Linked DNA regions of Callithrix jacchus. The protein of the gene in region 1 binds, or shares a complex with, the protein of each later gene. Links are inferred from orthologs where the notes say so. Each region holds a gene or a part of one and is shown in the gene's direction. Other genes may lie near its edges. The genes, in order: LSM7, LSM6, LSM2 and USP39.

Region 1 (8,737 bases):
TCTCAAAACAAGGTAGGGGCAGGACCAGGCCCTGAAGCCCTGGACACTTCCCAGGAGGGCCACAGAGTGGACAGGCCTGGACAGGAAAGGCCAACCCCTGCCTCTTCAATTTCAGGCTTTGCAGAGCAGGATGGAGCTATGAGGAAAGATGATTCCTCATGCAGGAAGCTGACCCCGCTTACCATGCTTCCTACTGCGGGGGCCACTGCGGCCACTGCGGGCTCCGGTTCCCCCAGCAGCTGCCCACTGCCTGCACCATCCCCCTTCCTCCCGCTCCCCTGCCCGGGGTCCCCAGCCAGTGTCTAACAAACACATCTCCATTTCTCAAGGATGCTGGTCACCAGAGGGTCTCACAGGGATGAGGCGCAGGTCCCAGCTGCTCTCCCACACTGCAGACCCTCGGTGCGGAACCCCAGGTGAGCCCGGCGTGTACAGGGAGGAGGGGTACCAGGAGAAAAGCCATGGGCGAGGCAAGGAGACCCACCCCCGAGACCTAGGCACGCCCATCCCTCAGGAGCGCCCAGCCCTCAGGAGCGCCCAGCCCTCAGCCTTCCATGGCTGCAGGACTCATTGGCACAGAGTGGGCTCCTGGCCCAGGCCTTCTGGGGCTGCGGGGCTCATGCCAGGCTGTAAACCTCCCAGGCAGAGAGACAGCCACATCCACTGGTCCCCAGAGGACCTGCCAGGGACACAAACAGGCCACAGCCATTCATCACAGCAGGAAGAGGACAGCAAGCCCTCGTCTGGACAACTCCACCTCACACAAGGCCCACACTGCAGACGCAGCTCCACCAAGCTGGGGCCGGGGAAGGGGAGCTCTGGCTCGGCCAAAGGTCCCGATGGTCCCTGGTGCCGGACACCAACCCGGGCACCCGGGCACCCGGGCACAAACTGCCTCTCCAACTGCTGGGCCCTCACTGAAATCACGCAGGGTTCTGGTCTGGTCTGGGAGCTTCTGGGTCAAGGCCCTCGAGGCCTCTGGGTTGCAGCCTGGTGAAAGTCCCAGTCCCTGCAGTCCCCTGGGGGTCTCAGCACTCGGCTAATGCTTCCTTCCTGCACCTGACCCGGCCCAACTCCATGCACCTCCCGTGTGACCGCCAGAGCAGAGGCAGAGTCAGGAGCCCCTTCTTCCCTGTTCTGCCCAACAGACTGCCTGCCCGTGAGGACCCCTCCCAACACAGCCTCCCAGTGTTCGGAACCCCTTGCACCTCCTCCAGGAGGGATGCTATGGGTCACAGCGGAGGCCAAGCATCCAGTCAGGCCCACCTCCTGTGCTTCTAAATAAAGTTTTATTGGAACGCAGCCAAGCCCATTCCTAAGGAAGAGTCTCCGGCTCTGGAGGTACAACAGGAGAAACGCAGCCACCCCACCAGAGGCCACACGGGCCACAAATCCCAGCAGAACTACTGTCCAGCCCTTCCCAGAAAACACCTGCCAAGCTTTGTTCAACGGGACCAGGGACTTTGGTGAAAGGTGTCTTTTGTGTAAAATGGGAACCGACAGAACAGCTTCTCTCTGAAAGGGTCATTTAAGAGCACAAAAGCACATTCATGCATTTTCCTCTGCACAATTCGGAAAACTGGTTTTCCGTTAAAAAACAAGCCTGAGCCTCTAACAAAGGCCAGAAAGCAGCGTCTCACTGTGAAGAGTCTCCTCGCCTGCCGAGTTAAAGGAACGGGGAGCAATTCTTCAACCGCCACAGCTCTAACCGGGTCCTGAGTTCTAGTCGGGCCCACAGAAATGTGGAAGGCCAGCGAAAGCTGGGGCAGGCCATGAGGACAGGCTCAAAGCCCAGGCCTCCAGCTCGGAACCCTTCCCAACTGCAGTGCGGACGCTTCGCAACCACACACAGCTTTAAAACCTTCTAGGAGGCTTAGAAACCCTGCTTCAGAATGACTGTGAAAGCGTCCGAGTCAAGGGCCTTTGACACAGGCACGTGACTCCAGAAACCGGAACTGAGGAGTTCCAGGAGCAGGGCCGGGTCCAGCCAGGTCCACCAGCTCCAGCTCAGACCTGCTGGGGAGCGGCTCCATGGTGGGGGGTGTCTCACTGGGGAGGTCAGATTTCTTGCTCAGAGTCACCAAATGGTAGCAAGTGAGCTGAGGACTCTCACCAAGCAGGTTCCTGCCCCTACAGCAAGTCTCATTCTTGGGCAATGGACTCCCATTTCCACTGCGGGAAGCACCGCCCCCTCCAGGCACGGGCGTCTCGGGTGTATTTACAATCAAGGTTGGGGGAGGCCCGGGAGCTCCTGCTTTCTCGTGTCACTCTGACTTGGCCTTTGGCTCTCCACACTCCGGATAAAGCTCAAGCTCCTCAGCCCTCCCAGGGTAAACTCCACGCCCCAGCACCCAGCGCCTTCCATGACTTGGCTTCCACCTGATGGCCTGTCCTCCAGCCAAGGCCCAATGCTCTGCCTTCACCCTCTACCTGGGGCCACTCATACCACGGCCCCCTCCTCTGTGCCCCTGCCCCAGCCTCTCTCCATGGCCCACGTGCAGGCCTCCCTGGTGGTGACATCTTCCAGGTGGAAACCCTCCGTACCAGCATTATTCCACTTTACACTGCAGCCGCAGCCCACCCCTTGCCAGCCCCAAATAGCCCAACGGCTCTCACCCCTCCCAGCCCCTGCCCATGCTGCTTCTGCTGCCAACATCCTTCCCCTTCTGCCAACCTGGCAAACTCCTACTCAGCCTTGGGAACACCTGCTTCGGGGCCGGGCGCGGTGGCTCATGCCTGTCATCCCAGCACTTTGGGAGGCCAAGGTGGGTGATCACCTGAGGCCAGAAGTTCGAGACAGCCTGACCAACATCTCTACTAAAAATACAAAAATTAGCCAAGCGCAATGGCGCACGCATGTAATCCCAGCTACTCGGGAGGCTGAGGTGGGAGAATCACTTGAACCTGGGAGGTGGAGGTTGCACTGAGCTGAGATGGCACCACTGCACTCCAGCCTGGGCGACAGAGCAAGACTCCCTCTCAAAACACACACACACACACACACACACACACACACACCTGCTTTGGAAAACCCTTTCCAGGCAAACTCCAGGAGGGAACCTTCCTTCCACCTCTGGTTCTTCCCTCCTTCCAAACGTCTGGGGAGTTGTAGGTCCCTGGCTGCAAAATGGGGGGACGTCCAGGGGGCCGAAAGAGCAGCAGGGGGTGGGGTTGTTAGAAAGCTTCTGCGGAGGGCTTCCAGGGTAAGAGAAACGGCCAGGGAGCCCACTGCAGGCTTCTGATAGCCAGGTCACAAATGCACGGACACACTCATCTGGATGTGACAGGGTCACTCCTGCTGTGTCGAGGCTGGACTGGGGACATGGGGGACAAAGGCAGCCACAGCAGGGGGAGGACGGCGGAGCTGGAGGAGTGGGGCTGAGAGAGCGCCGGTGGCAGCGACGCCTTAAGAGTGAGAACTCGGAGAGAGGAGTCAAGGTTAAGGGCCGCATTTGTAGGGCTGCGCTCCTAAAGTCAGGAGAGAGGGAAGATTTGGAAATAAGAAAATAAAAAACGCAGTTAGGGCAGTGCTATCTCGTAGACTGTCCCCACGAGAACCTGAGATGCTTTGCAGCAAACGACACACGATTAACATAACGAGGGCGTGCTGGCCCTGGGCGCTGGTCACCCTGGGCATCATCTCCAGAATCCACACCATCCTCAGCCTTCCTGCGGACGAGCAGCTGACGCTCCAAGCAGGGGATTCCCTTGTCCAAGGTCACAGACTAAAAGATGGAGCAGGGATGCAGCCCCAGAGCAGGGCTGGGCTCTTGGCCACTCCAGGGCGCTGCCAGACACTCGGGGACGCGCGGGACGCCTCTGGGTTCCCCACGGCACCCCCTAGGGTGAGGCTAGCCAGCACCCCGCCCGTTCCGCCTACGGGGAAACTGAGGCTCGGCGCGGGGTGGGCAGCCGCCTGCCCAAGGCCACAGAGCCAGAGACAGGCGACCCCGGCGGCGGCTGGAGACCCCGAAGAGGACAAGCAGAACGGAGGGATGGAGTGGGCACAAGCTTCAGACCCGGTAGGAAGTGAGGGGCGCTGCGGCGGCGCAGGGCCTCCGAGGCAGGGACGGGAGACGAGCCGGGGACAGCCCCGCAAGGTCACGGCCAGGCCCCGGCACCGCCGGCCAACGGCGCGGTGACCGCGGATCCCCGAGGCTGGAACCCCCGGAGACGACCTGGGTCGTTCCTGGGCGTAGCCCGGGGGCCGAGAGGCCCAGAAGCCGTAGCCTGCGGGGCCGTCGGAACCAACGCCGCGCTCACCTGGGCCGCGAGGAGCAGAAAGGGCGCCACAAGCCGCGCCAGCGCAGCCGCCGTCGCCGCCGCCATGTCGGCCGGTGCCCACCGCAACCGTCGACAGATGTTTCCCAGCAACGCCGCGAGACCCCGGGCCACGCATGCGCCGCGCATGCGCCTGCGAAGCCGGGAGGGGGTCAAAGGGCGCGGGGTGGCGCCTGCGCAGAGCGGCGCGGCGCGGCAAGATGGCGGTGAGCGCGCGGCGGGATCCGGAGCTGGGGGCGTGGGGCTCGGGCCGCGCTGCGCGCCTCACGCGCTCTGCTTTCCCCGCAGGATAAGGAGAAGAAGAAAAAGGAGAGCATCTTGGACTTGTCCAAGTACATCGACAAGACGATCCGGGTGAAGTTCCAGGGAGGCCGCGAAGGTGAGGAGGCTCCCGCCGTCGGCACCTCGCCTTTAAAATTCTGAAATAAACCCAGGAAGAGCGATGATGAGGACGCATGCATGCGGAGGCGCCGCTTTTATTTATTCTTTTCTTTTTTTTTTTTTCTTTTTTTGAGACCGAGTCTCGGTCTGATGCCCAGGCTGGAGTGCAATGGCGCGATCTCGGCTCACTGCGACCACCGCCTCCCGGGTTCAAGCGATTCTCCTGCCTCGGCCTCCCGATTAGCTGGGATTACAGGCGCCGGCCACCACGCCCGGCTAATTTTTGTGTTTCTAGTAGAGACGGGGGTTTCACCATGTTGGCCAGCCTGGTCTCGAACTCCTGACCTTAATTGATTCTCCCTCCTCGGCCTCCCAAAGTACCGGGATTACAGGCGTGACCCACCGCGCCTGGCCTCGCAGGCCCCTCTTTAGACTACCTTATGCGGTATTCCTACTTACACCGGGAGGTAGGAACTGGTATGCCCATTTTGCATGCAAGGAAACTGAGGCACGGGGCGGGAAACAGACGGAACCCAAAGTCACAGTGGCATAGCAGGGATTGGGATTTCAGGGTTGGCCTTCTGAGCAGTCCTGTGTGTCCAAGGGCTGCCCCAGCTCCCCACAGATCTCCCGGCTTCTGTTTCTCCCCCACCCATGTCAAGATCTCTCCCGGCACCAACAGTGTGGACACATTTGGGGCCGGATCATTCTCTGGGTTGGGGCCGTACCTGGGCACTGCAGGGTGCTGAGCAGTATCCCTGGCCTCCACCAAGTCGCGACAACCTAAACAGCCTCAGACAGGGTGGGCGCAGTGGCCCACACCTGTAATCCCAGCACTTTGAGAGGCTGATGCAAGCAGATCAGGAGCTCAGGAGTTCGAGACAAGCCTGGCCAATACGGTGAAACCCTGTCTCTACTAAAAATACAAAAATTGGCTGGGTGTGGTGGTAGGCGCCTGTAATCCCAGCATTTTGGGAGGCTGAGGCGCCAGATCACTTGAGTTCAGGAGTTTGAGACCAGCCTGGCCAACATGGCAGAGCCCCGTCTCTACTAAAAACTCAAAAATCAACCAGGCATAGTGGCACATGCCTGTAGTCCCAGCCACTGGGGAGGCTGAGGCAGGAGAATCGCTTGCGCATGAGAGGCGGAGATCATGCCACTGCACTCCAACCAGGATGATAGAACTAGACTTTGTCTCCAAAAAAAAAAAAAAAAAAAAGCAGAAAGGTCTGGTTCCTGAAGGGCTCACCTGATGCCCTCAGGCCCACCCAGGCTGTTTCCCTCCAGATTGGCTTACAGTCTGCTGGTTCCCGGGCTTCAATCACAGCTGCAGAGTTCCTTGTCTTCCTCACGTCACCTGACTGCAAGAGTGACGTCTTGTCCAGTCAGTCACATGCCCCAGGGGTGGGGATTCCGAACCTAGCTCTCCAGGGGAGAGGAACCTTGGGTGCACCCACCTGCCTCGGTGCTCACGTCTGTCCCCTTGAGAGGGGACTCTGGTCAGGCCAGTGCTGGGCACCTGAACAGATGTGTCTGGCCCCATTGTGTAGGTGATGAGTTTCTTTTTTTTTTTTTTTGAGACGGAGTTTGTGCTCTTGTCACCCAGGCTGGAGTGCAATGGCGCGATCTCGGCTCACCGCAACCTCCGCCTCCTGGGTTCAGGCAATTCTCCTGCCTCAGCCTCCCGAGTAGCTGGGATTACAGGCACGCGCCACCATGCCCAGCTAATTTTTGTATTTTTAGTAGAGACGGGGTTTCACCATGTTGACCGGGATGGTCTCGATCTCTTGACCTCGTGATCCACCCGCCTCGGCCTCCCAAAGTGCTGGGATTACAGGCGTGAGCCACCGCCCCCGGTGGTGATGAGTTTCATTTTGCAGGAGAGGAACTTGAGAGCACAGAGAGCGAGCTGGGGAGGGGGGCCCAAGCCTGGGCAGTCAGACCTTCTCTGTAGGCAAAGGCTGGTCGGCAAATACCTTCAGCTTTGCATCCCAGATGGTCTCTGAAACCAGTGAGCTATGCGGGGAGAGCGGGAGACCTGCCGTGGTCAGCGCTGGAGCGGGAGCGGCGCGTGTGGTGCTGGGCCCTGGGACTTTCACTACGGGATGGGCAGCGGGCCAGGTTGGCCTGAGGGTCATGGTTTGCAGACCCTCACCCCGCACCCCTCCCTGCACATGGCTGCCCTGGGTGTGCGCGGAGCGGCCGTGGGCCAGCTCACTAGGCCCCGCCTTTCAGGCAGACAGAATAATGCCCAGGGTGCCTGCTTCCTGGGATTGGGGGATGGTACAGTGGGCAGCACCCTAAGAGGTGTGGGTGGGTTGGTGTCTGGAGAAAGCACCTGAGAGGTGGCAGGGGTGAGAAGTAGGGTGGGGCAGCCACTGGGAAGCCCCTCAGAGAGCGCAAAAGTGCATCCTCGGCAGGAGAGGCCTGGGCCGGAGGAGCCTGCAGGGGAGGGGTGAGGCGTCCCAGGCAGGGAGGATGGGCCAATCACCAGACACTGGGGAGCAGGATCAGATGGCAGAGGTCACTGCCTGGTCAGCGCCCTAACCTTAGGTGGCGAGGCGTGACCTAAAGCGGCCAGGCTTGAGGGGCAGAGGTCTCGACCTAAGGCATCGAGGCCTGAGGGGCGGGGCAGGCATCGGGGAGAGGGAAGCTACAGCAACTGCCTCAACCCGTGAAGCCTGCGTACCCAGGGCTCGGGCATTTCCGTTGCCCACTCCCCGCAAGTCCTGAGCAGCGGGGCGGGAAGTTGTTCTTTTATATCCCATGAACTCGCTGAGGGACTCAGCACGGGTCAACGCAGCCGTCACCACTCTCAGAGCAGGGCAGTCTGTCTCCCCTGGAGGGAGCCCTGTCCCCTCCCCGGCCCTGGCACCCACACATCCCCTCCCTGTCTCTGTGGCTTGGTCACAGCGGGCGGCCTCCTGTGCACACACACCTTCTGTTGGTCTTTCACCGAGCGTGGCATCCTCAGGTGTGCTGCGGCCTGCATCAGCCTCGCTCCGCTCCTGGCTGGTGGCTCCACCTCTGCCGCCACCTGTTTTTCACCTGCTTTTGAGGTGACGATCGTTTTCATGGCTTTTAAATAGTTAAAAAGGGATCAAAAGAAGACTGTCTCACGATGTGGAAATTACATGAAGTTCACATTTCAGTGCCTGTGCGTAGAGCTGACTGGCCGCCGTCAGCCACACACGGCCTCATCACTGAGGCTGCTTATGAGCAGGCAGGCTGAGCCAGCAGCTGGGGCTGGCACCTTGGGCCCACACAGCCACAGGTGTTTGCCATCTGGGCCCCTGCAGACTGGGTCTGCTGTCCATCGGGGGTGTCGCTCTGGAGACCGCTGTCATCTGCCCCCCACCCCCACACCGGGAGCCCTCACCTACCCTCAGTCCTCCATCCCTGGAGAAGTTGGCACCACACCTGATCCACGCTGGGGTGGGCCCTGTGCCCGGGACGCATCTCACACGTTCTCATTTCTCTCCCCTGGTGACTTCTCCAAGCCAGTGGAATCCTGAAGGGCTTCGACCCGCTCCTCAACCTCGTGCTGGACGGCACCATCGAATACATGCGAGGTGAGGGGGCGGCCGTGGGGCTGCCTGCTGGCTCTTCCTCTCTCAGACCCACAAAACCTTACCCTGAGGTACCGACGTGAAGCCCCGTGACGGCTGAAGGACGGGCTTGGGCACTTACCATTCGTAGGCGTTTCCACAAAGCTGGAAACTCCATCATCCTGGGGCGCAGAGACGGGGGAGCTGGAGAGTGGAAGCAGCTGGGACTCCAGGTGCACGCCACCATGCCTGGCTAACTTTATATATTTTTAGCGGAGACGAGGTTTCCCATGTTGGCCGGGCTGGTCTCAAATTCCTGGTCTCAAGGGATCCTCCTGCCTCAGCCTCCCAAAGTGCTGGGATGGCGGGCATGAGCCACTGTTCCTGGCCCCTCACCTCACCTCTAACAAAATTAAAATAAAACATTTCACTGTGCTGGGCACACTTGAAGTGCCCAGCACAGTGTGTAGACACCATCAGGTGAGCTGGTCTCTAAAAAAGATTTGAAAAGCCTGGGGCCGTGGTTC
Region 2 (7,954 bases), on another chromosome or scaffold:
TCTCCAGTTTAATTTTATTTTTATAGTAAAACTAATGGATTTATACTGAATACTGAGATACTACAATGTCTCAATTTACTGCCTCTACCTGTGAACTTTTGATGAGCCCATAGGAAGTGATAGATTTCTAGGGATTTTAGTCTGCTTGACAACTGATTAAAGTGAGGACATTGTGTTCAGTATCTTCTCAGTATCCACTTTATTGAAGAGATGAACCAGCCTGATCTTTTTTCTCTATACTCTTTAAGAAAAATTTTTCTGTTTATAAAGGCAATACATGTTTTAGTTTTAATTTTAGAAATTTAAAAGAAAATAAAAGAAACAAGTATATAGAAGAAAGCAAAGTCTCTCCAATGCTACCATCCAAAGAGTTTACCAATTTTGACCTCTATATAAGCATAATTTGATGTAAATGGAATCAGCTGTACATGAAACCTGATTTTTTTTTTTTTTTTTAAACATGAAACAATACATTTAGTTTTGTGACAGTATAAAGGTTTGTGTGGCTGTACAATAGTTTTGTTTTTATTTTTAACAAATTTCCTATTAATGGACATTTTAGGTGTTGACCAGTTTTTTACTACTGTAAACAACTGTTTTACTTTGACATACATTGTGAACGCTTGACCAAGCATCTCTTTAGAATCAATTCCCTGGGCTAGGATTTACAATCAGAGTATTCCATGGCCCTGCATCAGTGAACCTGGGTTTATCCTACATATTCTCACCAACTCTTGTATTAGCTTTTTCATCTTTTCTAATCTAATACTTGGCAACAAGTAATATCTCATTTTACATATATTTTCTTTGTTTACTAGTGAGATTCAGGAGTCTTTCACATGGATAGTAACCCTAATTTTCTTTCCTCATGTCTCTTCATGGCCTTTGTACTAATAAAGCAAAATATTTTTTACTATTAGCCTTACTAAAGGACCATGCTTATTTTATGGTTTACAAAACACTGATAAAAGCCCAAAACAAAACAATAACAACATACCAAAAAAAAAAAAACCTCCATCAACTCTCTGTAGCAATTTCTCTTTAAGAAAATGCCTTGTTTTTGGTTATGTATAGTGATTTATCTCATGAAGAAGGAAAGGGTTGTATTTCTAACCTTTTGGGCAGTTTGTTAGTGTGTGGATTTTTGTTTTTTGTTTTTTCTTTTTAGCCTTTGCTATGAGAATAGAATAGACATTTTAATTAGACGTGAACTTTTTTTTTTTTGAGATGGTGTCTCACTCTGTCGCCCAGGCTGGAATGCAGTGTCGCAGTCTTGGCTCACTAAAACCTCTGCCTCCCAGGTTCAAACGATTCTCCTCTCAGGTTCAAAAGATTCTCCTGCCTCAGCCTCCTGAGTAGCTGGAATTACTGGCACCTGCCACCACTTCTGGCTAATTTTTGTATTTTTAGTAGAGACAGGATTTCACCATTTTAGCAAGGCTGTTCTTGAACTCCTGACCTCAAGTGATCCACCTGCCTCTGCCTCCCAAAGTACTGGGTTATAGGCATGAGCCACCGTGCCCAGCCTGGACATTTCATTTTGAAATCTTTTCATTAGTTTTCAAACTTGCCTGTCTTGCCTCAGAAGTTTCTTGCTTATTTATAATTGTGGTTTATATGTAAAATAATACAGCAGGAAATGAGCTAAAGTTGTATCTTAAGCTTTCTTTTGCTAAGAAATAATTGTTATTATTCACAGTCCATTCTGGTTCTTTGAGAGTTTACAGCTTAAGCTGTCATTATAGACACAATTTTGAAAGGAAACTTTTTTTGTTTAGAGGATAATAGGGGCAGAGACAGAGAGTGAGGAGCATATTAATCAAGTGAAGACATCAGATGAGAAACTATAGACTCGTCTAATTCAATTGAGTCTAGTATTTGTTTTTACTTAATTTTTTTTTCTCTGGAAAATACCACTTTACATTAGAGACAGAATTAGAGGCTTACAGATTTTCATCTTTTGAGAAAGATCATCAGGTCAAATTTAATAAAATTTATACCATCTTAACACAATTAAAGATTCACTCAACCTGTTTCCTTGAAAGCTCCCTCAAATTTTTTTGGCCATTTTCTCTATTAGTTTTGATTGAAAAATATTACAGCTGTAACAAAACAGACCAAGATGTGTTATAATGCAATATGTTGCCCTATATTCTCAAGCTGCTCTTCACTCTGAGTCACAGCTTTAAGATGTTCTTTCGGGAGCACCTGCTGTCTCCTCTTCTATTATTTTAACAGATTGTGGAGACTTCTCTTAACCCTGGAGTACATTCATCTGCTGCAGTAGATGTGAAAGAATGAAATAAATCTGCTAGACCCATGTTTCACTTAGTGGCTAAAGTAGGAAATGCCTCTGGAACCTGAGATCATTTGTTCATGCATAATTGCCCACCTTGTGCTTAGTTTTCAAAGAACGGTATTTTTGTTGGAATATTCTTTTGCTGTGTGGTCATACATGCCATGAGGGAAGTGACGGTTTGTTGTTTTACCGGTTAGTAGTGGGTGCATGACTGCCTTCCTAGCCTTCATTCAGATTGGCATAGAGTTATTTTGTGCTTAAGCTACTGAGTTTCATTTATTGTGTGAATTTTTATGTTAAGCATCTGAGAGCTGATGAACAAAGAGATAGTCTGCTCTAAGGTATACCCTGTAATTTTCAACTCTTACTTTTCTTGTGTATCTTCTTTTTGACTGTCTGCAGGGGTCCTGGCTTGCCTGGATGGCTACATGAATATAGCCCTGGAGCAGACAGAGGAATATGTAAATGGACAACTGAAGAATAAGTATGGGGACGCATTTATCCGAGGAAACAATGGTAACATTTCTTCACCCTGCAGTACAGGATCCAAAATAAGCCTTTTTGTTTATAATCCAGATCACCAAAGAGTTTTCTAGATAATTTTAAAGTACAGTTTTAGGCTTATTTTAAAATGCTTATATGTCAGATCTTCAGTTTGACCAGTTATTTTTTAAATGCCTCATAGAATTTTGAAACTAAAATTTTCGCCTTCCCTTCCTTTAGTGATGAGGAAATGGGGGACATTGGTCTCTTGACCCGGACCCTGCTCCCTCAAATATCATTTACTGTGTCTCCCCAGCACATATTCCTGCTTCTCGTAGCCTGGAAGTTGGAGCTATAAGAATGGGCACCATTTCCTTGATGTCTTTGATTTGCATAATTTGGCATTTCATCTTATTTGTCCCTTCTTTATTAAACTTTCAAATGTATGGAGATTTGTACCTTTTGGTTTGGCAAAAATGGCAAAGTAGAAAAACTAGTTTAAAGTTTCTCGGTTTTTTTAAACAACTAATTGCTGTGATTTTTGTAGTTATTTTTAAGTACCTAGTTTCAACATGAAAATTATAATTAAGTCATATTTGTATTTTTGGTGGGGAAGGAAAGACATCAGAAGTATGAGAATTACCCCACTTTTGGTTCATTCTCCCAAATGAAACTCTGGGATTCTTGAGTTCAGATTTTTTATTGATTTGTTTAATTCTGGATGTCTTCAACTCCCTAAATAGTTGAATCTCCTTGCTATGAACTAAACTTCCTGACTTTTATAATAGATTCTGTCCCCTGTGCTTACTGTACCATGTTTCTTCAGATTATATTTTTATATATATGATCTCTTGGTTTTCTAGTCCTTCCTATTTATAGAATTATTTATCCTATTTTTCATATCCTTATTTGACTTCTTCTTTTTCCTAAGAAATGATAGAATTCTTTTCTCACCTCAAGACAGCTAATGGCAGCAGTCACCGACAGGTTGGCTTCTGTGCATGTTAGTAGGGGTTGGATCCTTTAACATGCACACTACACCTAGGACTTGAGGGGCAGAGTGGAGGGTGGTTGTATGGGCATTCTGATGCTTCCCTTCCTGTCACATTTCCTGTGATGTAATCAGTAACATTCATCTTTAGACTCCCAAGTTCACATCGTTGGCTTTTAAAGAGGATCTTGACTTATTTGATTGGGCTGTGCTATGTTCTTTGATGAAGACATCCTACTTTGAGCAGACCTCTCAGAAGCCGAATAGGCATGGAGGGTGGAAGGGAGAGCCAACTCTAGTGAAACTTGGCCAAAGTGACCCAGACATTCCATTTTGTTTCATTCCTACAGACCATACATCCTAAGAGTTCAGGTTGGTAGTCGTGAGAGGACCAGCTAAGCAGAATATTGGGTAACACCAAAGTATGAGACCTTAACAGGAACTCAGAAAAAGGACTTTGATATCATTAAAAAGAAAAAAAATCAAAAAATCCTGCTCTTGTTTATCCTGTTGCAATTAAGAAGATAATCAGCAAGTTTAGAGTTTGCGTTGGAGAGAGAGATGGAAATATGCTCTTTATTCTTAATTTGAGATCTAGCCTGGTAGGTGGATTGACCGGTTTACTTTCTGAAAACATCTTGTTTTTTGTTTGTTTGTTTGTTTTTTGAGATGAAGTCTTCTATGTCACCCAGGCTGGAGGGTAGTGGTGCAATCTTGGCTCACTGCAGCCTCTACCTCTCAGACTTAAGTGATCCTCTCACCTCAGCCTCCCATGTAGCTGGGACTACAGGCGCGTATACCAACATGCCTGGCTAATTTTTTGTATTTTTGGTAGAGACGGGATTTCACCATGTTGCCCATGCTGGTCTTGAACTTCTGAGCTCAAGTGATCCACCTGCTTTGGCCTCCCAAAGTACTGAGATTACAGGCGTGAACCACCATGTTCAGCCTGGAAAAGCATAATTCTTGCACTTCTAACTGTAAAGCATTCTTAGATGCCAGAGACTTTCACATATATTTTATTTGTCTTCATGGTCACACTTTGCAGAGTCACGCAGACACATGGATAAGATTACGATACAGTTTTATAAGACATCAAACTCGGATATAGATAAAACTAGTACTTCCAGAGTTAATTGAATGATACAAAAATTCCTTTTAAATGTCAGATGTAGCCGACCAAAATGTGTCTGCTTTTATTTATTTATTTATTTTTTAAATTTTTTATTGCATTTTAGGTTTTGGGGTACATTTCCAGAACATGCAAGACAGTTGCATAGGTACACACATGGCAGTGTGTTTTGCTTCCTTTCTCCCCTTCACCCACATTTGGCATTTCTCCCCAGGCTATCCCTCCCCAGCTCCCCCTCCCGCTGGCCCTCCCCTTTTCCCCCCAATAGACCCCAGTGTTTAGTACTCCCCTCCCTGTGTCCATGTGTTCTCATTTTTCATCACCCGCCTGTGAGTGAGAATATGTGGTATTTCATTTTCTATTCTTGTGTCAGTTTGCTGAGAATGATGTTCTCCAGATTCATCCATGTCCCTACAAACGACACAAACTCATCATTTCTTATTGCTGCATAATATTCCATGGTGTATATGTGCCAGATTTTCCCAATCCAGTCTATCATCAATGGGAATTTGGGTTGATTTCAGGTCTTTGCTATTGTAAACAGTGCTGCAATGAACATTCGTGTACATGTGTCCTTATAGTAGAACGATTTATAGTCCTTTGGATATATACCCAGTAATGGGATTGCTGGGTCAAATGAAATTTCTATTTCTAAGGCCTTGAGGAATCGCCACACTGTCTTCCACAATGGTTGAACTAATCTACACTCCCACCAACAGTGTAAAAGTGTTCCTTTTTCTCCACATCCTCTCCAGCATCTGTTGTCTCCAGATTTTTTAATGATCGCCATTCTAACTGGCGTGAGATGGTATCTCAATGTGGTTTTGATTTGCATCTCTCTGATGACCAGTGACGATGAGCATTTTTTCATATGATTGTTGGCCTCATATATGTCTTCTTTCGTAAAGTGTCTGTTCATATCCTTTGCCCACTTTTGAATGGGCTTGTTTGTTTTTTTCCAGTAAATCCGTTTGAGTTCTTTGTAAATTCTGGATATCAGCCCTTCATCAGATGGGTAAACTGCAAAATTTTTTTCCCATTCTGTTGGTTGCCGATTCACTCTAGTGACTGTTTCTTTTGCCGTGCAGAAGCTGTGGAGTTTGATTAGGTCCCATTTGTCTATTTTGGCTTTTGTTGCCAATGCTTTTGGTGTTTTGTTCATGAAGTCCTTGCCTACTCCTATGTCCTGGATAGTTTTGCCTAGATTTCCTTCTAGTTTTTTTATCGTGCCAAGTCTTGTGTTTAAGTCTTTAATCCATCTGGAGTTAATTTTAGTGTAAGGTGTCAGGAAGGGGTCCAGTTTCTGCTTTCTGCACATGGCTCGCCAGTTTTCCCAGCACCATTTGTTAAACAGGGAATCCTTTCCCCATTGCTTGTTTTTGTCAGGTTTATCAAAGATTGTATAGTTGTCGATATGTTGTGTTGCCTCCGGTGCCTCTGTTATGTTCCATTGGTCTATATCTCTGTTTTAGTACCAGTACCATGCTGTTTTGATTACTGTAGCCTTGTAGTATAGTTTGAAATCCAGTAGTGTGATGCCCCCCGCTGTGTTCTTTTTGCTTAGAATTGACTTGGCTATGCGGGCTCTCTTTTGGTTCCATATGAAGTTCATGGTGGTTTTTTCCAGTTCTGTGAAGAAAGTCAATGGTAGCTTGATGGGGATAGCGTTGATTCGGTAAATTACTTTGTGCAGTATAGCCATTTTCACGATATTAATTCTTTCTAACCATGAACATGGAATGTTTCTTCATCTGTTTGTGTCCTCTCTGATTTCGTTGAGCAGTGGTTTGTAGTTCTCCTTGAAGAGGTCCCTTACGTTCCTTGTGAGTTGTATTCCTAGGTATTTTATTCTTTTTGTAGCAATTGTGAATGGCAGTTCGTTCGTGATTTGGCTTTCTTTAAGTCTGTTATTGGTGTAGACGAATGCTTGTGATTTTTGCACATTAATTTTATATCCTGAGACTTTGCTGAAGTTGCTTATCAGTTTCAGGAGTTTTTGGGCTGAGGCGATGGGGTCTTCTAGGTTTACTATCATGTCGTCTACAAATAGAGGCAATTTGGCTTCCACCTTTCCTATTTGAATACCCTTTATTTCTTTTTCTTGCCTGATTGCTCTGGCTAGAACTTCCAGTACTATATTGAATAGGAGTGGTGAAAGAGGGCATCCTTGTCTAGTGCCGGATTTCAAAGGGAATGCTTCCAGTTTTTGCCCATTCATTATGATATTGGCTGTTGGTTTGTCATAAATAGGTTTTATTACTTTGAGATACGTTCCATCGATACCGAGTTTATTGAGGGTTTTTAGCATAAAGGGCTGTTGAATTTTGTCAAATGCCTTCTCTCCGTCAATTGAGATAATCATGCGGTTTTTGTTTTTGGTTCTGTTTATGTGGTGAATTACGTTGATAGACTTGCGTATGTTGAACCAGCCTTGCATCCCCGGGATGAATCCTACTTGATCATGATGGATAAGTTTTTTGATTTGCTGTTGCAATTGGCTTGCCAATATTTTATTGAAGATTTTTACATCTATGTTCATCATGGATATTGGCCTGACGTTTTCTTTTCTTGTTGGGTCTCTGTCGGGTTTTGGTATCAGGATGATGTTGGTTTCATAAAATGATTTGGGAAGGATTCCCTCTTTTTGGATTATTTGGAGTAGTTTTAGAAGGAATGGTACCAGCTGCTGTTTGTGTGTCTGGTAGAATTCGGCTGTGAACCCGTCTGGACCTGGGCTTTTTTCGTGTGGTAGGCTCTTAATTGCTGCCTTGACTTCTGACCTTGTTATTGGTCTATTCATAGTTTCAGCTTCCTCCTGGTTTAGGCTTGGGAGGACACAGGAGTCCAGGAATTTATCCATTTCTTTGAGGTTTACTAGTTTATGTGCATAGAGTTGTTTGTAATATTCTCTGATGATGGTTTGAATTTCTGTGGAATCTGTGGTGATTTCCCCTTTATCATTTTTTATTGCATCTATTTGGTTGTTCTCTCTTTTCTTTTTAATCAATCTGGCTAGTGGTCTGTCTATTTTGTTGATCTTTTCAAAAAA
Region 3 (7,025 bases), on another chromosome or scaffold:
ATTTCTACAAAAAATTTAAAAATTAGCCAGGTGTAGTGATGCATGTCTGTAGTCCCAGTTATTAGGGACTAATCCCAGCCTGAGGTGGGATGATCACTTGAACCCAGGAAGTCGAGGCTACAGCAAGCCATGATTATACCACTTTACTCCAGCCTGGGTGACAGAGGGAGACTGTGTCTCAAAAAAGAACAGGCCATAGGATGGGCATGGTGCACAGTGGCTTACACTTGTAATCCTAGCACTTTGGGAGGCTGAGGTGGGAGGATCACGAGGTCAAGAGATCTAGATCATTCTGGCCTATATAGTGAAACCTTGTCTCTACTAAAAATACAAAAATTAGCTGGGCGTGGTGGCCCGCACCTGTAGTCCCAGTTACTAGGGAGGCAGAAGCAGGAGAATCATTTGAACCCGGGAGGTGGAGGTTGCAGTGAGCCAAGATTGCACCACTGCACTCCAGCCTGGCGACAGAGTGAGACTCCCATCTCAAAACAAAAAAAGAACAGGCCATAAACAGCAAATGTTATTTCTACAAAATGAGAAGCACCCATTAGGAAGAATATAGACTCTCTGATAGAAGGTTCTACGGGGCTAGAAGGACAGGGAGAAGTCTCTCAAAAATACAGCATTTAGTCTAAGTCCTGAAATAAGATTAAAATAAAAGATACAAGTGGGAGGAGATTTAAAAGCAGTGCAGGCATTAGTTTTCTGTTTATCCTTTATTTTTTTTATTTTTATTTTTTTTGAGACAAGAGTCTGACTCTGTTGCCCAGGCTGGAGTGCAGTAACACTACTCTTATCGGCTCACTGCAACCTCAGCCTCCCGAGTTCAAGTGATTCTCTTGTCTCAGCCTCCCCGAGTAGGTAGGATTATAGCTGCCTGCCACAATGCCCAGTTAATTTTTGTATTTTTTGTAGAGATGAGGTTTCACCATGTTGGCCAGGCTTGTCACAAACTCCAGACCCCAAATGATCCACCCGCCTCATCACCCCTAAGTGCTGGGATTACAGGCATGAGCCACCTTGCACGGCCCAGACACTGGGTTTTAAATACTTGAGAATTTTTTTTTTTTTTTTGAGACGGAGTTTCGTTCTTGTTACCCAGGCTGGAGTGCAATGACATTATCTCGGCTCACCACAACCTCCACCTCCTGGGTTCAGGCAATTCTGCTGCCTCAGCCTCCTGAGTAGCTGGGATTATAGGCACGCGCCACCATGCCCAGCTAATTTTTTGTATTTTTAGTAGAGACGGAGTTTCACCATGTTGACCAGGATGGTCTTGATCTCTTGACCTCGTGACCCACCCGCCTCGGCCTCCCAAAGTGCTGGGATTACAGGCATGAACCATCGCGCCCAGCTCAATACTTTGAGAATTTTTACAAAACTTAGGGTCCGGCAGAGAACTGCTAACTTTATTTTTGGCAAGATAAGGACTTTTTAAAACAGCTATTTATTATGATTATTTTATAACTTCAAAATAGAGATGAGGTATTGCTATGTTGCCCAGGCACTGCTATTTTGTCCGGGCTGGCCTCAAGTGATCCTCCTGCCTCAGCCTCCCGAAGTGCTGGGATTACAGATGTGAGCCACTGCACCCAGCCAAAGGCTGTTTCTTAAATTTTTGCACCATTCTCCCAAAGAGCACTGGTGTTTTGATACCATTACTCAAATAGCATCTCAAGGGGCTTGAGGATTGGAGAATGGAGAGGATATCACTTGTGCCTGCATCATCAAGAGTAATGCTACCTTCCTACCTTTATCTACATATGGGACTCTGGTTCCAAAGCAATAAATGTTTGAAAATAGCTAGCCTGGGCAACATTCACCATGAGACCCTTTCTCTACAAAAAAAAAAAAAAAAAAAAAAAAAATCAGCTGGGCATGGGGGCACATGCCTGTCATCACAACAGCTGCTCAAGTGGCTGCAGTGAGCATGATCATGCCATTGCACTCCAGCCTGGGCCATAGAGTGAGATCCTGTCTCAAAAAAAAAACAAAAAAAACTGTTGATGATGTTGGGAGTCAGACAGACTTGGACTGAAGTTCCTGTTTGTTCTAAACTCAGGTTTAAAACTTCTCTGAGCCCATGGAAGGTAATAACTACTTCAAAAGATGGCTATAAAGATAACAGAATACAGGTCTAGTCTTTACCAGTTGTTTAATGGTAGCTATTAAGAATAGGTTGGTTTGGCCGGGCACAGTGGCTCACACCTGTAATCCCAGCACTTTGGGAGGCTAAGATAGGCAGATTGCCTGAGGTCAGGAGTTATAGACCAGCCTGGCCAACATGGTGAAACCTCACTTCTACTAAAAATAAAAGACTAGCCAGGCATGATGGCGCACACCTGAAGTCCTAGCTACTCAGGAGGCTGAGGCAAGAGAATCATTTGAACCTGGAAGACAGAGGTTGCAGTGAGCAGAGATAGTGGCACTGCATAGAGTGAGAGTCCATCTAAAAAAAAAAGAATGGTTTAAGGAGAGGAGATGTGGGGTTGAAATTAAACCACTCTGTAGCCATCTTTCCTACTCCAGGCTTAGGAATGTCCCCTTTTGGTTCTACCTTTTCTGACTTCCTCAAGTCCTTGCCTTTTCCCAATCATATTCTCATCCCAGCTCTGAAGTCACCTTTATGTTGACTTTGTTATAAACTAATTTGTTTTTTCTCTCTCTGCCCTTGACAGCATCTGTGGAACCCTCCATTCTGTGGATCAGGTGAGATATAGCAAGGGCCCAGAATTGGTTCCTGGGGAAGGAGAGGGGAGAGCTTAAGGGTTGGGTACTTACATCATATCTCTAGGGTTAATAATGGTGTTCGTATTCCTTTCTTAGTATCTCAACATCAAACTAACTGACATCAGTGTTACAGACCCTGAGAAATATCCTCACATGGTGAGTTGGGGTCTATGGAGAAGAGGAAACACCTCTAAAGCAGGAGGCTCCTGGGTGGTTAGAGGACATTTTTAAGGGTGTTTTCACATTTGTCCATCTTTGTCTAGTTATCAGTGAAGAATTGTTTCATTCGGGGTTCAGTGGTCCGCTACGTGCAGTTGCCAGCAGACGAGGTCGACACACAGTTGCTGCAGGATGCGGCAAGGAAGGAAGCCCTGCAGCAGAAACAGTGATAGCTCCTCCTCCTCTTCCCCTCCCTCTTGCATTGGTGACCCAGAACCCCAAGTCCCAGCCAAGAACCCCTAACTCCCAATACTTAAGGGTTTTTGTTTGTTTGTTTTTTACTAATGATGATTTTGTGGGTTTTTTAAAGGGATGAGTGGATGAGAGGAATAATAGGGAACAGCTCTCCTCTGTTGAGAAGGGGAGGATGAGTAGGCTGGGAAACTTCAAAGCCTTCCCAGTCCCCAGCACCAGCCTTTCTTACTATTTCCCTGGAGATGGTGGGAGAGTTTCCTAAGTATTTCCAGGGCATTCATTTAGGGATGGAAGGAATCTGTCCCGCATCGGGAATAAAATTTATGATGCAAATTCGTGTTCTGGTTTTGTACTACGTTTGGGGCTGGGTGCTGGGTGGTGGAAAAGGATGTTGAATTCATCCAGGCCCTTGTTACTCTCTGTTAACCCAGCCAAGAATCCAACTCAGCTTCCCACTACTCTCCGTGGTATAAAGCGTATAATAACAATTGCACTACACCACGTTTCTCCCAACATGCCTCTGTCTGCATGTTCTCCCTTCGGCGTTTTGCTTATACCATACTGGCAACTGGAGTGCTTGCTGTCTTTCCATTAATGTGACAATGTTATAAGATGCATTTCATGCTACCGGACTTTGACAATCCAACCAAATCAGTACATGTTTTTTGAATATCTATAGAAGATAAATACAGACGGAACATAATTTATATGTTGGAGAAAAGTTATGACTGGCAATTACTAAACTTCATTCACTCATTCAGCAAATATGAGTTGTGATACAGATGAGACTTCTCAGCATTAAGGGACCCTTAGAGACCATCTAGTGTGACCCTCTTTTTTTTTTTTTTTTTAAACAGCCTTGCTCTGTCGCCCAGGGTGGAGTGCAGTAGTGCAGTCTGGCTCACTGCAGCCTCCTCCCTGATTCAAGCACTTCTGCCTCAGCTTCCAAGTAGCTGGGATTACAGGCGCCCACCCACCAGGCCTGGCTAATTTTTGTATTTATTTATTATTTCGAGGTGGAGTCTCACTTTGTCAGCCAGGCTGGAGTGCAGTGGTGTGATCTCAGCTCATTGCAGTCTCTGCCTCCCAGGTTCAAGTGATTCTCTTGCTTCAGCCTCCCAAGTAGCTGGGATTGTGGGTGTATGCCACCACACCCGGCTAATTTTTGTATTTTTAGTAGAGACGGTTCACCATGTTGGCCAGGCTGGTCTCGAACTTCTGACCTCAAGTGATCGGCCCGCCTCAGCCTCCCAAGTGCTAGGATTACAGGCGGGAGCCACCGCACCCGGCCAATTTTGTATTTTTTAGTGCAGACGGGGTTTCAGCATGTTGGCCAGGCTGGACCCGGACTCCTCAAAGGCGTCTGCCCACCTCGGCCTCCCAAAGTGTTGGGATTATAGGCGTCAGCCACCGCGCCCGGCCATGACCCTTTTTTCAAACATGGGATGAGGCTCAAAGGGGAAGCTGGACGCTAGGGCTTTGGAAGATGGACCTCCCCTTTGGTCATCAGGCGACTGCCTCCTAGGTGGGCTAGTCCCGCTACCGCTGGGAACGCCTCCCCCTGCAGGCCGGCCGACCCTCTTAGGCCAGTTCCCTGGCTGCCCGCTGGGCGCCGCCCTCGCCGCCCGGTTCGAGGACCCGCACAAGGTGTCCGTGGCAGCGCCTGACGGGAGCGTGGTGCCCATGGGCGTCCTGTTGTCTTGCGCCCGCGCCCAGCGCCCCGCGCCCGTGCTGTTGCTCGTGAGCGCGGTGGGTGGTGGGCGGTGCGTCCCCGGGACAGCGTCGGACAGGGCGGAGCGGGCACACGCAGGCGGGGCACGGCCGCCCCCGCCAGGACCTGCAGGCCCGGAAACGCTCCCTGTCACAAAGGGGGAACACGTGGGCGCCGGCTGCCCGGGCGGCGGTCTCAGGGAGCTAGGGTCACCCGGTGAGCCGCCCATCCGTCTCTGCCCGCCCGACTTTTCCGCCCCGGCCGCTTGGCCGGTCCAGCCGCGGCCGGCGCCTGCCTGTGAGGTGGATTCCCGGCCCAGTCTGACCATCTCCCTCCAGTACGTACACGCGGCTCGAACCCGCGTCCAAGTGGACGCGGACCCGCTCCTGAGAGCCTTCCACACTCCCCGAAGCCCTGCGATCACGGGTAGTCCCCCACGTCCCTCCTCCCCAGGTACTCTCCACTGTTACTACCCCTCTTGAGAGCCAGGTCCTCGACTGCTGGCACCTTGCCTGGTCAGACCCTTAGTCCTGGGGGACTCGGGTGTCTGCGGCGGAGGAGCTACCGTGAGGGTCCCCTCTCTACTCAAATATAGGACCCGCCTGGATCCCTCAGTCTTCCCCTGTCTCTCTTTCTCTTTAGGTTTTTCCACTTCGTTTGGACCCCCTCATAACTATGTCCATCCTCTACGTCTCCCCTCACCCAGATGCCTTCCCCAGCCTCCGAGCACTCATAGCCGCTCGCTATGGGGAGGCTGGGGAGGGTCCGGGATGGGGAGGAGCCCACCCCCGCATTTGTCTCCAGCCGCCCCCGACTAGCAGGACTCCCTTTCCCCCACCCCGCCTGCCGGCCCTGGAGCAGGGGCCCAGTGGGCTTTGGGTGTGGGGGGCCACGGCTGTGGCCCAGCTGCTGTGGCCAGCAGGCCTGGGGGGCCCAGGGGGCAGCCAGGCGGCTGTTCTCGTCCAACAGTGGGTCAGTTACGCTGACACGGAGCTAATACCAGCTGCCTGTGGGGCAACGCTGCCAGCCCTGGGACTGCGAAACTCGGCCCAGGATCCCCAGGTGAGGGGATTGTAGAGAAGAGGGGGAGGGGAGAGTTTCAGAGGAGGGAAGCAAGGACTGGAATGGACAATGAGACAAGGCAGCATGTCAGATGTGGAAAAAGAGAGATCAAATCCCAGATTGCCAACTGGCATGGTAACTCGCTGTGTCTTGGTCTTCCTGCGTCTGTGGACGCGCAGGCAAGTTGATGTAATGTTTGCCTCACTGAGTTAATAAGATTAAAAGATGTGCGCAGAGTGCATTAGTGCCAGGCACTTTTTTTTTTTTTTTGAGACGGAGTTTTGCTCTTATTACCCAGGCTGGAGTGCAATGGCGCCATCTCAGCTCACTGCAACCTCTGCCTCCTGGGTTCAGGCAATTCTCCTGCCTCAGCCTCCTGAGTAGCTGGGATTACAGGCACGCGCCCCCATGCCCAGCTAATTTTTTGTAATTTTAGTAGAGACGGGGTTTCACCATGTTGACCAGGATGGTCTTGATCTCTTGACCTCGTGATCCACCCGCCTCGGCCTCCCAAAGTGCTGGGATTACAGGCTTGAGCCACCAAGCCCGGCCTAGTGCCAGGCACTTTTAAAGTCTCTTAGTAAACGTTTGGTGAGTCTGAAATTGAGGAGGATAGAAGTTATTTGAATTGCAGGAAAAGATGATGAAGGAGAGAGAGTTTCTGAGAGGAGATAAAAGAAATGAAGTGAGGAAGGGAAGTGAGAGGAGAGATAAGCCTGCCAGATTGTAACTGTCAGTCCTTCCAAAGGAGACCTGTGCCTTGGCGTACTTTCAACTCTGCCTCCTTGCAGGGTGTTGAGCACATGATGGAAAATTAGTATTTCTTGACTGAATGAATGAATATGACATAGACCCTGACTTGCTCCCTCACACTGTGATCACCCTATCTAAAATAGAGTCCTTGCATTCAGAATGTTTGTGCAGTTAAACAAATAAAATAGAGTCCCTCTCTCCTGTTCCCCTCATTCTTTTTTTTTTTTTTTTTGAGACGGAGTCTCCTGTTGCCCAGGCTGGAGTGCAGTGGTGCGATCCTAGCTCCTGCAGTCTCCGCCTCTGGGGTTCAAGCGATTCTCCTGCCTCAGCCTTCTGAGTAGCTGGGATTACAGGT
Region 4 (7,954 bases), on another chromosome or scaffold:
AGCCTGGGGTTCAGCAGAAAAAAGCGCAAATTGCTTTTTTTTTTGAGACAGAGTTTCGCTCTTGTTACCCAGGCTGGAGTGCAATGGCGGGATCTCAGCTCCCCGCAACCTCCGCCTCCTGGGTTCAGGCAATTCTCCTGCCTCAGACTCCTGAGTGGCTGGGATTACAGGCACGCGCCACCATGCCCAGCTAATTTTTTTTTTTTGAGATGGAGTTTCGCTGTTGTTACCCAGACTGGAGTGCAATGGCATGATCTCAGCTCACCGCAACCTCCGCCTTCTGGGTTCAAGCAATTCTCCTGCTTCAGCCTCCAGAGTAGCTGGGACTACAGGCGCGCACCACCATGCCCAGCTAATTTTTGTGTATTTTTAGTAGAGACGGGGTTTCACCATGTTGACCAGGATGGTCTCCATTTCTTGACCTCATGATCCACCTGCCTCGGCCTCCCAAAGTGCTGGGATTACAGGCTTGAGCCACCGCGCCCAGCCCAAATTGTTTTAAAAAAGTTATAAGCGCTGTTCATTATGGTAGGCATGAACCACCTGTGGCTTCAGTGCTCCTGTAATTGAAAACTGAATTTTACATTTTGTTTAATTGAATTATAGTCAGCCTCAGTATTGGGATATGGAACCTGAAGATACAAAGGGCCAATTGTAAGGGGCTTGAACATTGTTTGAAAGCTGAGATAGTTTACTGCATCATTACATTCTTTTTTCTGATTCCCACGTGGCATGTAGAATGTTTTTCAACCTATATTGTAGGGAAATTTTCTATAATAATATAATTGTTCTTATAAGAGCTGGGTGTGGTGGCTCACACCTGTAATCTCAGACCTTTGGCAGGCAGGAGGATCACTTGAGGCCAAAAGTTTGAGACCAGCCTGGTCAACATAATGAGACCCATCTTTTTTTATTCTCTTTAGATGGAGTTTTGCTTGTATTGCCCAGACTGGAGTGCAATGGTGTGATCTTTGCTCACCGCAACCTCTGCCTCCCAGGTTCAAGTGATTCTCCTGCCTCAGGCTCCTGAGTAGCTGGAACTATATGCGTCCACCACTATGCCCAGCTAGTTTTTGTATTTTTTTAGTAGAAATGGGTTTTACTATGTTGGCCAGGCTGGTTTTGAACTCATGACCTGAGGTAATCTACCTGCCTTGGCCTCCCAAAGTGCTGGGATTACAGGTGTGAGCGATGGCGGCCGGCCAGTGAGACTCATCTTTTATTTATTTATTTTTAAGATGGGGTTTCACCATGATGGCCAGGCTGGTCTTGAACTCCTGACCTCAGGTGATCCACCCACCTTGGCCTCCCAAAGTGCTGAGATTACAGGTGTGAGCCACTGTGCCTGGCTCGTATTTATTTATTTTTAAATTTAATTTTTATTTTTATTTAAAAATTTTTTTAAATTTTTAATTATTTTTTTATAGAAGTGGGCTTTCACCATTTTGGCCAGGATGATCTTGATCTCTTGACCTCGTGATCCGCCCGCCTTGGCCTCCCAGAGTGCTGCGATTACAGATATGAGCCACCGCGCCTGGCTTGAGACTCATCTTTTATAAAGACTTAAAAAAAAAAAAGTTATGGCTGGGTGCTCTGGCTCATGCCTATAATCCTAGCATTTTCGGAGGCTGAGTTGGGCAGATTGCTTGAGCCCAGGAGTTCGAGACCATCCTGGGCAACATGGCAAAACCTCATCTCTACAAAAAATAAGCCAGGTGTAGTGGTGAACTCCTGTAGTCCCAGCTACTTGAGGGGGCTGAAGCAGGAGGATTGCTTGAACCTGGGAGGTTGAGGCTGCAGTGTTGAGATTGTGCCACTGCACTCCAGCCTGGATGACAAAGTGAGACCCCATCTCTGGGAAAAGAAGGTCACGAGGGCTGTTCATTATGGTAGGCATGAGCCACTTGTGGCTTCAGTGCTCCTGCAATTGAAGAACTGATTTTTACATTTTATTTAATTGAATTACAGTCAGCCTCAGTATCAGGATATGGAACCTGAAGATACAAAGGGCCAGCTGTAAGGGGTCCTAGAACCAGTTGAACATTGTAGATTTTGGTATCTGAAGGGGTCCTAGAACCAGTTTCCTGTGGCTACTGATGGACAGCTGTTTTTGTTTTTGGTTGTTTGCTTTTTTGAGATGGGGTCTTGCTCTGTTGCCCAGGCTGGAGTGCTGTGGTGAGATCTTGGCTCACTGCAGCCTCCGCCTCCCAGGTTCAAGCAGTTCTCCTATCTCAGCCTTCTGAGTAGCTGAGATTACAGGCAGACCACCACACCCAGCTAATTTTTGTATTTTCAGTAGAGATGAGGTTTTACCATGTTGGCCAGGCTGGTCCCGAACTCCTGACCTTGGGTGATCCACCCTCCTCAGCCTCCCAAAGTGTTGGAATTATAGGCATGAGCCACTGCACCCAACAGGACAGCTTATTTTAAATTTAATTGTTAATAGCCACTTTGTCTAGTGGCTTCTTTATTAGATAGCACAGCTCTTTGGGATCATTATCAGTTAATTAAGATTACTATTTGAGGATAAATCTCTTTGTGGGTTGAATGGAGGTAAGGTTTTTTGTTCCTTTCTGCCTAGTCCTCACTTGGCACTTGAATAAATAGATCTGTTTGTAGGTATTCTAAAATTTTTCAGCCTTTCCATTTGTTTTTATGGACAAAAATACGTTTTTATTTTAAAATTTACTATTATTATTATTTTTTTTTTTTTAAGAGAGGATCTCACTCTAGCCCAGGCTGGAGTGCAGTAGTGGATCAGAGCTCACTGTAGCCACAAACTCCTGGGTTAAAGTGATACATTTTTCTTTTGTGAAAAGATTTATTCATCCTTTTTATGTCCTCTCCACCTCCAGAATGCTGTTGGGGTCCTTTTACCTTAGTCTGACTTGTAACTTTCCCTTTAGAAAAAGTGAATGCAGTGGGAAGTCTTGAACTGGTTACAAACACTAATGAGAAAGATACTTTTGGTTATTAGGTGTCTGGTGGAGACACCTCAACACTGCTTTGGAGCATGGCAGGTGGAGGTGAGGAATAATCAGTGTCTCCGAATAATCAGTGTCCCCCAATAATCGGTATATATATTGTTGTGAACTGTTTTCTGAAGGCTGTTGTGTGGTATCATTGAACATCACAGAGCCAACACTGCTTCATTTGAGTGCCTTCCTACATGTCCATCCTATTGTTTATTTTTTTCTGTTTTGTTTTGTTTCCTTAGAAGTGTGCTGGACTTTGACTTTGAGAAACTGTGTTCTATCTCCCTCTCACATATCAATGCTTACGCCTGTCTGGTGTGTGGCAAGTACTTTCAAGGTAATGAGTGTTAAAAATTACAAACTTGTTAAGCTTTTAGAGCTAGCTGCAGATCTGTTCCAGAGGGACTTTTTTTTTTTTTTTTTTAAAGAAAGTAAGCTGTTCTCAGGAATTATATCTAATAATTTCAATTTGTTCCCAGGAAATTGAAATATTCTTAGAAAACGAACAAGAGGTTCTCTGACTGGTCAGAGCCTGGATATATCTGAAAGGGAGAAAGGGCAAATCATATGACATCAAAGACTGGATTCTTGATTCTAATATATGTATTTTCTTATTTTTAATTTTTTATTATTTTGAGACAGAGTCTCACCCTGTCACCCAGGTTGGAGTGCAGTGGTGCAGTCTTGCCAGCTAATTTTTGTTTAAATTTACATGGAGTCTTGCTTTGTCACCCAGTCTGCAGTGCAGTGACATGATCTTGGCTTACTGCAACCCCTGCCTTCTGGGATCAAGCAGTTCTCCTGCCTCAGCCTCCCAATTAGCTGGGATTACAGGCATACCACCATACCTGGCTAATTTTATATTTTTAGTAGAGACAGGGCTTCACCATGTTGGCCAGGCTGGTCTCAATCTCCCAACTTCAGGTGATCTACCTTGGCCTCCCAAAGTGCTGGGATTACAGGCATGAGCCACCGTGCCCAGCCAATTTTTTATTTTTATTTTTGACATAGAGTCTCCCTCTGTCACCCAGGCTGGTGTGCAGTGGCATGATCTAGGCTCACTGCAACCTCTGCCTTCTGGGTTCAGTCTGTTCTCCTGCCTTAGCTTCCTGAGTACTGGGATTACAGGTGTGTACCATCACACCCAGCTAATTTTTTTTTTTTGTACTTTTAGTAGAGATAGGGTTTTATCATGTTGGTCAGGCTGGTCTCGAACTCCTGACCTCGTGATCTGCCTTCCTCGGCCTCCCAAAGTGCTGGTGTTATAGGTGTGAGCCACTGTACCCGGCCAATTTTTTTTTTCAATTTTATTTATTTATATTTTGGGCTGGAGTTTCGCTCTGTTGCCCAGGCTCACTTGCATCACTGAGTTCAAGTGATTCTCCTGCCTCAACCTCCCGAGCAGCTGGGACTACAGGCATGCACCACCACGCCACTACACCTGGCTAATTTTTGTATTTTTTAGTAGAAATGGGGTTTTACCATATTGGCCAGGCTAGTCTTGATCTCCTGACCTCAAGTGATCCACACTCATCAGCCTCCCAAAGTGCTGAGATTACAGGCGTAAGCCACTGCACCGGGCCACATTTTTTTTTTTAAAAGATGGGATTTTTCTCTGTTGCCCAGGCTAGTCTCAAAACTCCTGAACTCAAGCAGTCTGCACTTTGGGGCCTCCCAAAGTGCTGGGATTTATAGGTGTGAGCCACTGCACCACGCCATCTGGCTATTTTATTTTATTTTATTTTGTAGTGACAAGGCTTTATTATATTACCCAGGCTGCCCTTTTATTTTTTAATCCTTTATCTCCATGGACTTTTTTTTCCCCATTCTTTTCTGAAAATGCATAATTTCAACTTATTCAGACCAAGCAGATGCCACGTACATAGTATAGTGGAGGGTTCAAATGAGGTAAAAACATCCTGACATGGTGGCTCGCACCTGTAATCCTAGTATTTTGGGAGGCCAAGGCAGGAGGTTTGCTTAAAGCCAAGAGTTCAAGACCCACCTGGCTAAAGTAACAAGACCCTGTCTCAAATAAAAAAGAGATAAAAACTATATTCTTTGCTGTTATAAGTAGCTTATAAGAAGTCAAGGTTGACAATGTAAAACAACCAGCAAGTTCTGTTAGAACTTAAAGATTCTGCTAGACTGTGGCAGTGAATAAAAATAAAGGCAATAGGAGTTGAAATATGTAAAAGTCAGTGTTAGCCGGAGTGTTTATATTGAGTTCATGGAGGAGTTGAGGTGGGACTTGAATTGGCAGGACATAGGATTTTGAATGGTTAAGGGAGAGATTCTAGAAAGGAGTAGCAACATGAAAAAAGTTACATAGATGCAGCATTGTCCTGAATATGGATAGTTGGAAATTCAGGACTGAGTGATGATGGACTGTCATAGGATATGTATGTATTTGTGTATATGTGTATTTATTCACACATATATGCATGGCTATTTCTGATTTCATATATATAGGAAACTATATATAATATATATATAGGTTATATATATTAGGTTATATACATATTATATGTGAAATAGTGAAATTTGTTTCCTCAGTCAATGTCTTACACCATCTAGGGAATGAAGTAACTAATGTGCCAGTTTTTCTTGCTCATTTTTTTATAAGAGAAGTTCATGTGGAGGATTCATTTTATGAATGGCATAATATTTGTTTTTTGCGGATGCTAACATGTTCTGGTAGAAAATAATGAAAGGAAAAGCAAACCTGATCGGTGCCTTCTAGGATCTGCCCTTCTGTTACAGCCTTTCCCCTTTCCCTACAGGCCGCGGTTTGAAGTCTCATGCCTACATTCACAGTGTCCAGTTTAGCCACCATGTTTTCCTCAACCTCCATACCCTCAAGTTTTACTGCCTTCCAGACAACTATGAGATCATCGATTCCTCATTGGAGGATATCACGGTGTGTGTCTAAGAGGGTTGGTTTGGGGTCCATTCTTTATGAGCCATCCCAGGGCTCCCAGGGGACTGCTCCACCTGAGGACAGGGAAGAATCTCAGTCCTTTTGGGCCTTGAGAGATTGCTTTCCCTTTTGGAAGGAACCAGGGAAACTGATTGTCATTTCTGCCTTTAACATTGAGGACTAGGACTGAAGAAATATGGCTGTATTCTGATAGGGTTGAAAGTGTTTTTGTGAAATGAATTATTCTTCCACACTTTGAAGTAGGGATATTAATTGGGTGTGGTGTAGGACAGTAGTTACCAAGCTGCACACCAGCTCCTGGCTGCTTTTATTTTATGATGTGGCCAGAGCATCCAGCCACAGATGTATCATCTGTGGGCTCTAGTTTGTGACCTGGACCAAGAGATACTCATTGTACTGAACATGGAAAGTCCTCTTGGGCTTTGATTAGTGTTGGGCTTTTGATTATTATTTTTCTTTTCAGCATGTGGGGAATATTCATGGTGCCAAATGCTCTGTTTTTGTTTTTGAGATGGGGTCTCACTCTGTTGCCCAGACAGGAGTGCAGCACCAGCACAGCTCACTATATCCTTGACCTCATGGGTTCAAGTGATCCTTCCACCTCGGCCTCCCATGTAACTGGGACTACTGGCATGTACCATCATGCCCAGATAAATTTATTACTTTTTTTATAGAGATGGGGTCTCGGCTGGGTGCGGTGGCTCACGCCTGTAATCCAGCACTTTGGGAGGCTGAGACGGGTGGATCACAAGGTCAAGAGATCGAGACCATCCTGGTCAACAAGGTGAAACCCCATCTCTACTAAAAATACAAAAATTAGCTGGGCATGGTGGCGTGCGCCTGTAATCCCAGCTACTTGGGAGGCTGAGGCAGGAGAATTGCTTGAACCCAGGAGGCGGAGGTTACGGTGAGCCGAGATCGTGCCATTGCACTCCAGCCTGGGTAACAACTGCGAAGCTCCTCAAAAAAAAGAGGTGGGGTCTCATTGTGTTGCACAGGTTGGTCATGTTCTGTTTATTTTTAAGGAAAGTTTGGTAGTTTTTGAAATACTGGTTTTTCTACTTGCGAAAGTTTTATAAGCCTATTTTTTTTTGAGTCACACTGTTGCCAGACTGGAGTGCAGTGGCACCATCTCAGCTTACAGCAAAATCTCCACGTCCCAGGTTCAAGCGATTCTACTGCCTTAGCAGTAGATTACAGGTGTGTGTCACCACACCTAACTAATTTTTGTATTTTTAGTAGGGGCAGGGTTTCACCACGCCTGGATGGTCTTGATCTTCTGACCTCATGATCCACCCACCTCGACCTCCCAAAGTACTGGGATTACTGGCATGAGCCACTGCCAGGTTTGTTAATAATTGAGGTTAAAATTGTTATACATAGGCTGGGTGCAGTGGCTAACACTTGTAATCCCAGCACTTTGGGAGGCCGACGCAGGTGGATCACTTGAGGTCAGGAGTTTGAGACCAGCCTGTCCAACATGATGAGACCTTGTTTCTACTAAAAATACAAAATTGCCCAGGCATGGTGGCGCACACTTATAATCCCAGCCACTTGGGAGGCTCAGGCAGGAGAATTGCTTGAACCTGGGAGGTGGCTGTTGCAGTGAACCGAGATTGTGCCATGGTACTCCAGCCTGGGCAACAGGAGCAAAACTCGGTCTCAAAAAATAAAAGTTATGGATAGTATTATAGAGGGAGAAACTGGAATAAATTCAGTGTTTCAAAGTGAGTTTGGGATGACCTCTGTCCAGTCTGTGACATAATGACTGTGGTGACTGAACCTGGGAAGCATCTGATCCTGCTCTTTCAGTCCCAGAAAGTCATGGAAATCCTCAGTCTCACCCAGCGTGGAGGAAACTCTCCTGCTCCAAAGCTAAGTACATGTGCTGCCCCTGGGAGGTTCTGAGGCTTAGACTGCTGTTAGAAACTTGAGTATTGTATCGTTTCTGGCAGTCAGTTATGAGTTGACCAGACCTGAGGTCTGCAAAAATCACTGGGATTTAGTGATTTTGGATTAAACACAGAGATCCCCTTGT

Evidence for each region.
Region 2: LSM7 (region 1) and LSM6 share a complex: the UniProt entries of both Homo sapiens proteins name them as parts of the precatalytic spliceosome. The link is inferred for Callithrix jacchus from reciprocal best matches to the Homo sapiens genes LSM7 and LSM6.
Region 3: LSM7 (region 1) and LSM2 share a complex: the UniProt entries of both Homo sapiens proteins name them as parts of the precatalytic spliceosome. The link is inferred for Callithrix jacchus from reciprocal best matches to the Homo sapiens genes LSM7 and LSM2.
Region 4: LSM7 (region 1) and USP39 share a complex: the UniProt entries of both Homo sapiens proteins name them as parts of the U4/U6-U5 tri-snRNP complex. The link is inferred for Callithrix jacchus from reciprocal best matches to the Homo sapiens genes LSM7 and USP39.

Annotation. Positions count from the first base shown.
Region 1 is NC_133523.1:2,191,636-2,200,372, reverse strand, and holds the start of LSM7 (U6 snRNA-associated Sm-like protein LSm7), read left to right. Parts: upstream 1-4,393; 5' UTR 4,394-4,397; coding exon 4,398-4,487; intron 4,488-4,569; coding exon 4,570-4,660; intron 4,661-8,162; coding exon 8,163-8,234; intron 8,235-8,737. Other genes in the region: SPPL2B (signal peptide peptidase-like 2B), read right to left, coding at 4,264-4,329. UniProt on the Homo sapiens protein: Plays a role in pre-mRNA splicing as component of the U4/U6-U5 tri-snRNP complex that is involved in spliceosome assembly, and as component of the precatalytic spliceosome (spliceosome B complex).
Region 2 is NC_133504.1:50,806,875-50,814,828, reverse strand, and holds part of LSM6 (U6 snRNA-associated Sm-like protein LSm6), read left to right. Parts: intron 1-2,701; coding exon 2,702-2,815; intron 2,816-7,954. UniProt on the Homo sapiens protein: Plays a role in pre-mRNA splicing as component of the U4/U6-U5 tri-snRNP complex that is involved in spliceosome assembly, and as component of the precatalytic spliceosome (spliceosome B complex).
Region 3 is NC_133505.1:39,300,927-39,307,951, reverse strand, and holds the end of LSM2 (U6 snRNA-associated Sm-like protein LSm2), read left to right. Parts: intron 1-2,678; coding exon 2,679-2,709; intron 2,710-2,826; coding exon 2,827-2,886; intron 2,887-2,993; coding exon 2,994-3,119; 3' UTR 3,120-3,477; downstream 3,478-7,025. Other genes in the region: VARS1 (valine--tRNA ligase), read left to right, coding at 5,531-5,917. UniProt on the Homo sapiens protein: Plays a role in pre-mRNA splicing as component of the U4/U6-U5 tri-snRNP complex that is involved in spliceosome assembly, and as component of the precatalytic spliceosome (spliceosome B complex).
Region 4 is NC_133515.1:27,399,294-27,407,247, reverse strand, and holds part of USP39 (ubiquitin carboxyl-terminal hydrolase 39), read left to right. Parts: intron 1-3,217; coding exon 3,218-3,312; intron 3,313-5,758; coding exon 5,759-5,895; intron 5,896-7,954.